Alligator mississippiensis: one gene and its partner. The protein of the gene in region 1 interacts with the protein of each later gene in a pairwise test. Links are inferred from orthologs where the notes say so. Each region holds a gene or a part of one and is shown on either strand. Other genes may lie near its edges. The genes, in order: RGL2 and RAP1B.

Evidence for each region.
Region 2: the proteins of RGL2 (region 1) and RAP1B interact in a two-hybrid assay, tested with the Homo sapiens proteins (2 studies listed by BioGRID and IntAct). The link is inferred for Alligator mississippiensis from reciprocal best matches to the Homo sapiens genes RGL2 and RAP1B.

The regions. Positions count from the first base shown.
Region 1 is NC_081834.1:64,826,527-64,830,429, forward strand, and holds the start of RGL2 (ral guanine nucleotide dissociation stimulator-like 2), read right to left. Parts: upstream 2,593-3,903; 5' UTR 2,478-2,592; intron 2,372-2,477; 5' UTR 2,315-2,371; coding exon 2,198-2,314; intron 2,123-2,197; exon of another isoform or gene 1,823-2,122; coding exon of another isoform or gene 1,727-1,822; intron 1,653-1,726; coding exon 1,587-1,652; intron 1,500-1,586; coding exon 1,309-1,499; intron 1,232-1,308; coding exon 1,169-1,231; intron 1,087-1,168; coding exon 914-1,086; intron 793-913; coding exon 680-792; intron 572-679; coding exon 356-571; intron 1-355. Other genes in the region: TAPBP (tapasin), read right to left, coding at 3,631-3,642. UniProt on the Homo sapiens protein: Probable guanine nucleotide exchange factor. Putative effector of Ras and/or Rap. Associates with the GTP-bound form of Rap 1A and H-Ras in vitro.
Region 2 is NC_081827.1:69,300,096-69,303,998, forward strand, and holds the start of RAP1B (ras-related protein Rap-1b), read left to right. Parts: upstream 1-1,655; 5' UTR 1,656-1,814; intron 1,815-3,903. UniProt on the Homo sapiens protein: GTP-binding protein that possesses intrinsic GTPase activity. Contributes to the polarizing activity of KRIT1 and CDH5 in the establishment and maintenance of correct endothelial cell polarity and vascular lumen.

The DNA of each region.
Region 1 (3,903 bases):
GGGGTTGGGGGTCAGAGGGCTCGCAATGAAGTCAGGGGCTGACCTTGGCGGTGCAAATCCACTTCCCAAGCAGGTGCGTGCAGTGCTATGGTGTGGGGGTCAGGGGTCATGGACCTGGCACGAGGGTTAGGGGATGAACTCAGCGACCCGGATCCACTTAAGCAGGTGGGTGCAGTGTTACAGGATTGGGGTCAGAATTGCAAGCCTGGCTGCAGGGTCAGGGTTTAGGGTTACAGGTCTGGCTCCAGGGTTAAGGGCTGAACTCGGCAATGCAGATTCACTTCTGGAACAGGGGGGTGCACTGTTAAGGTACAGGTTAGGGGTTATGGGGCTGGCAGTGGAGTCAGGGGCTGACCTCAGCTACACGGATCCATTTCTCCAGCAGGCGGGCACGCTGTAGTGGGCGCAGGTTGGCAGGCCCCAGGCAGGAGCGGACAACAGCGCCCGCCACGCGGTTGAACTGGCGCACGGTGGCACGGACGCTGGGGCAGGCACCCTCTTGTCCCCGGCGGCCCCGGCGTGACCACAACGAGCCCAGGCACTCATAGGGCACCACGCGCACAAACAGGTCCTGCAGGGGCAAGCGAAGGAGATCAGAGGGATCTACCTCCCGCCCTGCTCCCAAACAGGACAGAGGTAAGTTGGGGTCTGCGGCCGGTATCCCCACCCCGTTGCTTACCGCCTCCAGTAGGGTCAGCTGGGCAGCCACCTGCTCTGCTTGGAAGCCCAGGAAATCCAAGGGATTGGCGTCCTCTTCTGCCTCTTCCTCATCCTCCCCCTCGCCCTCTGGCTCTGCTTGGGGGGGCAGGAATCCAGCATTAGAGCGACAAGCCCCTTATCCCCCCCACACAGCTCAGACTTCACAAGCTTAACTCCACTCCCCAAGTACTGCTTCCCCCTGAGTCCCTCTCACGTGTGTGGGCAGGGGCCCCCAGAAGCTCCTGTAGTTGTTGCTCTGTCTCTGAGCCCTTGCCCGCCGCCACCTGCAGGCTCCGGGACAGCCGTTCCCACAGGCCAGGCTCCAGCACCCCCCTGAAGTCCTCGGGGTACCCCTCCAGCCAGGAGTACAGCACTGACGCGAAGGCCCTGTTGGGGCAGCACAGACATCAGGCAGGGGATGGTGGGGGCAGAGGGATTCACAGACAGACATTTGAGGGGGGTCACTCACCGCCGCACCTCGGTTACATCTGGGGTGGGGGGTCCTGGCTCCAGTGCCCTGACCTCCTCCAGCCTGGGGGAGAAATAGGGGTCAGTGAACGTGGGGGTAGCTGCCTGGAGGCCCCTTGCTCCACCAGCTCCCTCTGGTACCTGTCGAGCAGCAGCTGCAAGACATCGATGGGGCGGGTGAAGGCACGGTGGGTGGCCAGGAAGGCTGGGACGTAGGCAGTGTCGCCCAGGGTCTGAGCCTCCAGCAGGTGCTGCGCCAGCCGGGGCAGAGTCCCTGCTTTCAGGGAGCGGGCTGGCTGCCCCCCCCCGGGGCTCCCCACTGCTGCGGGGGTCTGAGGGGGGAAAAGAGTGTCAGAACCAGCCTCAAACCCACCCCTTCAAGACGGGGGCACCCCTGTAGTGGGTCCCCTGGCACTCACCGCTGGGCGCGTGGCCACCATGTAGATGGCACCATCCTCTGCTGCCTCTGTCAGCGTCACTGGGGCCTGTAGGAGGGGGCAACAGGGTCACTTAGGGCCCCCCTGTCTCCCAGCTACCCCCAGCCCCACTCCTGGCTCACCTTGGCAGGCAGGCAGTACCAGCGTGTGCGGGACAGTGGGGGCCCCTCCTGCCCCCCTGGGTCCAGGCAGCCACCTAGCCGCAGGAACAGCTTCATGGCGCCCAGGGGTCCCTACAGGCCATCCCTCCACTCCAGCTCGCTGTGCACGGGGCTCCGGGGACTGACAGGGCCGAGGGAGGGCCCTTGCCTGGCTCCCGTGCCTGCCACTAGCCTGGGACAGGCCTGGAGCTGCGGGAACCTGAGCTGGGAGGGGCGGGGGCCCCTGTCCCCCTGCTCCTGCCAGGGCAGCTGGGCCGGCCCTGGCCCTGGCCCTGCCGGGTCCGGCCTGGCTCCACGTCCTCCAGGCCCCGTCGGTCCCTGGCTGTCGGCCCGGAGCGCCCTGGCTTCTCTCTCCCCGGTGCTTCCGCCTTCGGGCCCGGGCCCGCCCCCGCCCCGCCTCGCCCCGCCCCGCGCCGCGCCCCTCCCGCTCACCTGGGGCAGGTGGCAGGGGTCGGGGCAGCTCCGGTAGCCGCTGAGCACCACGCCCGGCGCGCGGCCCCCCGGCGCGTCCGCCCCGTCCAGCAGGAGGCGCCGCGAGCGCGAGAGCATGGGGGAGCGGGCGCTCAGCACCCCGGGGTGCCCGGCATGGGCAGGGCAGGGCCCGGCCTGCGGCAGAGGAGCAGAGATCAGTGCCTGCCCCGCCGCGCGCCACGGGCACCCCGGGAGCCCCCTGCCCCCTACCCGCCCCGGGAGCTTCCAGTCCCGAGGGCACCTGGGTCCCGCGGCGGTCGGGTCGGGTCGGGTCTGGGCGGGCGGGCGGGCAGGCGGGGCCGGAGCGGAGCGGAGCGGCCTCGGCCAGTCCGCGGGCTCCAGCGCCGGGGCTTCCCGCAGCCCCGCCCGGCCCGGCTCGGCCCCGCCGCCTCGGGGCAGGAAGCTGCACAATGGCTCGGCTTCCGGCCCTGCGCGGCGCCTTCCGCACACGCAGAGGCACACTCGTGCACTTGCATGCACACACACACACACACACACACACACACACATGCACGCGCGTGCGCTTTCGTCTGTGCACACATCTGCACGTGTGCGTACGTATGTGTACACTTATGTACCTGCATGCATGCACCTGTACACGCATACTCAGATGGGCACACTCACGCACTTGCATGCACACACCTGCCCAAGCATGTACCTGCATGCACAGGTATGTGCCTACATCCATGCACCTGCACATGCATGCTACTCTACTTGCACATGCCTGCACCTGGATGCACACATCTGCACAGGCATGTACCTACACACTCATGTACAAACCTGCATACCAGCACCTGTCTATCCATGCAAGTATGTGCATGCATATGTATGCACACACCTGTATATGCATGTGCATGCAGCACCCTATCCCTATGGCTCCAGGGCTGGAAGCACCAGAAGCCCCTTGCTCCTCAGCCCAGCAGGTTGGGGGTGTGGGGACTCCATGGGGACTTGGAAAATGAAGAAGAGGCCTGGTTGGGGGAGTCACAGCAAATGCCTTTATTTACACACTGGAAGGCCTCAGCCTCCTGCTTCCATACAGTAGTATAAAGCCCCACTCCCACCAGGGGCAAGGGAAGGGGGAGCAGGGGGAGTATAGGCCGGGTGGGGGGAGCTAGGGGATTGGGGGGTGGGTCTCAAAAAGGAGAAGGGGGTTTCCAGCTGCAGAGGGGAGGGGAGTGGGAGTGCAGAAGTAATGGCACGGGGCACAGGAGGGTCCTGGTAGGGGTTTGGAGGGTGTCAACAGGTGTACCAGGGCCATCTGGAGAATCAGACCTTTCTTAACCTTGCCAGCCCCCCTCCCAGCCTTCATCTTTGGGTTCACAGTTGCATCCCAGGGGGCCTCAGAGGCCACAACTCCCTCCTTGATCTCCTTGGGCGGCTCCACTCCGGCTTCACTCTGACTTCTATGGGGAGAAAGAGCTGTCAGCTAGAGTCCAGCAGGGCCGGGCTGGGTGTCCCTTGCAGACTGACTACCTCACTCAGGGGTGCACAAAGTACCTGAAGCACTGGGTTGGTCTCTGTTGACCCCGCTGCCACCCCATCCCCCTTTTCTCCAGCTTCTAGACCCTCGACCTGACCACCGCTGAGTTAGTCTCAAAGATGCACCCTGTCCTCCTGCCTGCAGGGAGGACACTGGGAGATCCCTACACCCCAGTGGGCGAGCT
Region 2 (3,903 bases), on another chromosome or scaffold:
AGATTTAACTCACTGTAAGGAAAAGTGCTGGGGTGGGTAAGGTATTATCATAATAGAAGCTAATTTGTAACCTTAACTATAGCCATTGCTACCTTTTTGCTGCGATTAGCAGTACTTCTATCAGCACTAAGTACTGCATTTATTATTTGTGATTAGTTCACGCAGGAAAGCTGTGGATGTTTTTTAAGAGAAGGCACAGGAAATGTATTTCAGTGTTCTCTTTTAATCTATTGGATGTTTGAGGGAGCTGATGGAAATTACACAAACAGGAATAAAAGTATGCTAAAACACAAATATTCTTATTTTAAGAGTAAATAATACAAAACTAATAGTCCCAAGAAACACAAGAGTATCATTTTACTTAAAATATCTCCTTGTAAATATATCTAGTTAAGCAACCAATATCTCCCAGATGAATGATTTTTACCCTGAAAAGTGGACCAGAAGGGAGCAACTGCCTATGTACTTAATTTCTCCCTGCCTGAGTCCCCTTTAATGATCTGCCATTTATAGGGATTCATTATCCAAGTGCTGTACACGGGATTAGCCATAAAAGACCGAGAAGAAATCTTATGACACTTTGTGGAGTTTTGGTGCAAGGGCCTAAGGAAAACTATTTTTAGAAGTAAAAAGAACTTGGTGACCTGAATGTAGATAGGACACGTAATGTGGACTTAGTCACTCTGCTGACTACTTTAGCCACTTCTTCTCTACGTTTATTCTACGTTGTATGGACTCCAAGCACTACAGCAAGTAATGCGCCACTACCATGCATTTGGAGGGAAATGTAATCTTTTTTTCCCCCCTTCTCTATCTCTGCGCTACAAACAGAAAGTGTGTGCTTCCTCCACACCCACTCCCTCTGCCAGCAGCGCCATTGCAACTTCCTGTCAGTTTCTCACTGTGGCAGACTTCCTCTGAATAAGTGTTATCTGCCATGGCATATTAACTGTTTGCTCGCTACTGAGCATTTCCCAGAAGAGCTGTCTTCTTTATTTTTAACACTTACTCTTCCAACCCATTCTGATCTGGAGAGAAAAGGAGCCCTGGTGACTTTTGGGAAAAAAAAGGCATCTTCTATTATTTAATAGAAAATGAACGTATGTGGAGCAGGGAGAAGAGCCAAGACACGTTGCCGTTCTTTCCACATTAATAGATCCCCTGTGGATTTCGGTGGAGGCTGACCCTAGTTGTCAGGAGGCTTAGTAATGCAAGCAAAGAGCAATAGCGTTGTGTGGTTTCTGCTGCCATGTGGGCGAGCATCTGAGGTGCTTGAGAATCAGGGGCCTCGCACTTGTTTTTCTTACGCACGTTTCACAGGTTTTTGAGTCATAGAAGAGGCTCACATCCGTGGCTAGCAGGGGCGACCCGGTTACAGAGCAATGCTGCGGGTGTAGAATGAGGCCTTCCACCCAGGCCAGGCCAGGTCTCTGCCAGTGGGGTTCAGGACACGGGGGCACTTGCACCCATTGGGTGAGGGCCGGTCCCGCTGTCTGCAACCCTGACAGGCGATAGGGGAAGCTCTCCCGCCCGCTAGAACTAGGCGGCCGCAACACCGCCACCCCGCTGAGGGGAGGGCGCCGCGACAGCCTGCGCCTGCGCAGTGTGAGCCGGGGGTAGAGAGGTCACCCCCGCCCCCCGCGCGCTTCCTGCCCCGCCCCCAGGCCGCGCCGGGGACGCCAGAGCGAGGCTAGGCGTGTGGCGTCACGGCGGCGGCCTCGAGCCTCGCCCAGCAGCGGCAGCGAGTACGCGCGGGAGTGGCGCGTCCGGCCGGAGGCCACACGGGCAGCGGCAGCGGCGGTGCCGGCCGGTAGGTAGGCAGGCGGGGAGCGGGACCGGGACCGGGGCCGAGGGGGCCGCGATGGTAGGGGGGCAAGTGCGGGAACATGGCGGAGGCGGCCCCGGCCCGGCCCGGCGCCGCCGCCGCCCAAGTTGTAGCGGAAGCGGAAAGTTGCGAGGCGGCGGCGGGGCGGGGTCGGGCGGCGGCGCCCCGGCAGCCCGCGGCCCCGCCTAGGCTGGGCGCCCCTCCGCGGGGAGGGGCCCGCAGCTCCCTCCCGGCCGCGGGGTCCTGCCCAAGTTGCCGCGGGGTCTCCGCTCCCCCGTGCGCTATTGTGTGCGGAGCTGCGCCGAGCGGTGCCCTGCGGAGGGTCCCCCCGTCTCCCCTCCCCCCAGTCGCCTTCGCAGCCCGGATGTCGGGGGCAGCACGTCGGAGAGTCGTCGGGGCCTGAACAGACCCTGGCTCCGGAGCCCCCGCCGCGCCCCAGTGGAATAAGCCCCGGGCTGTGTTTAGGGCGTGTTAGGCTCTTGGCCAGCTCGAAGGGGGTGGCGGGCCACGAAACCTCTACCGATCTGCTGTGTATCGCCCTTTCCTGCAAGCTGTCCCTTTAAAGAAATAACGTCCGGGTCCAAAGGAAAACGCTTAAGCGTTTGTCATAGATATTGTCTGGTTCAGGCAGCTCTAACAATCTGGGTTGGGTTGTTTCTACAAAGTTTGCTTAAGTAAACCATAGAGGAATCATAAGTTGGGCTGGAACGGACCTACAGAGGTCATCATCTAGTCCAGCTTTTCTCAACTGGTAGGTCACGACCCAAAAGTGGGTCAGAAGAATATATGAAATGGTCACAAACAAACTTTAAAAACAGATTCTCCTTTAAAGGAGGAAAGTGTGGGAAACCATGCGTTTTCCCTTGCTGGCTGGCAGAGCTCCTGCCTGCAAGAGGCTGCTTGGGGCCCCCCACAGGCCCTACACAGCTACCCTTGGTTCCGCACGCTGGGGGCGGAAGGCACTCAGTTGAGACTGGCTATTGATGTTTGCAAATGGATCCTGGTCCAAAAAAGGATGACAATCACTGATCTAGGCCAAAATGTGATTGTACAGAACACCAGTCTCTTCTAGAGGAATTTTGCTGCCTTAAAGGTCTGGTTTCAGTTCCAACATGCATCAGCTCCACTTTCAAATGTTTTAGCAGTGAACTAGTGGACGGGGTGCTTTCCCAAGCTTTTTTTTTTTTTATAACGTAGGTTCACCTAAATATTTCTGTTCCAAAAAAAGATATTGGAAACTCATTTCTTAGTTATAACAAGAAATGTCCTGTAACAGAGATGCCCTAATTAAGTGTTGCTAACCTACTTGATGCATGTACTGTACAACAAATACTTGGATACAAGGCTGACACAGTTCCTTGTTATACTAGGTCATACTTCGAGGCTGCAAAGGGTTTTTCTACCCTTCAGTAAACTTCACAGTAATGGTTTCCTTAATTGTGCAATGGCTTCATGACTGACTTATGCCTTTGTTAAATGGAACCAGTGGAAGAAGTTAATTCAGGGTGCTTTTAAGTGCTTTTATCTACTTTGTTCAGGATTCTGGTTCCTTATTTCTCCTTTCACTGGGAAGAGTCTACAGTATAAAATGTATTCTTCCTTCTGGCTAGAACTGAGATTGCTAACTGATCAGTAAAATGCACCCTGGCTGCTGCTGTAACTGCTGGGTAGCAAAAACTTTGGCAGTGATATTGGCTGTTTGGTTAAAGCAGTTCATCTTCTCTAGGTTCCTGCCTATTGCAGGGACATGCCATCTAACGGTGTTAGGAGATTTCTGGAGGCTATAGACAGCCACGAGTCTTGAACTTAAGTTGTAATAGATACTGTAAGTATTCAAGCCTTGCTTGCATAATACCTCTTGCAATAAAATTGATCATGCTTAGGACTACTTGATCAGCCCTTCCCTCCTTACCCTACTCCTAGTAAAGACTAACTCAGCAATAATTTTTGACCTGTTACTTACAGGCTAGAACTATGCTATCAGTTCACTATTGCTAACTTGGAAAAAGTGTATTTCTGTCTTCAAGAATAAACCTGGAGTTTGCTTAGCAGTTTTCCTGGCTTCCCACTATTTTACA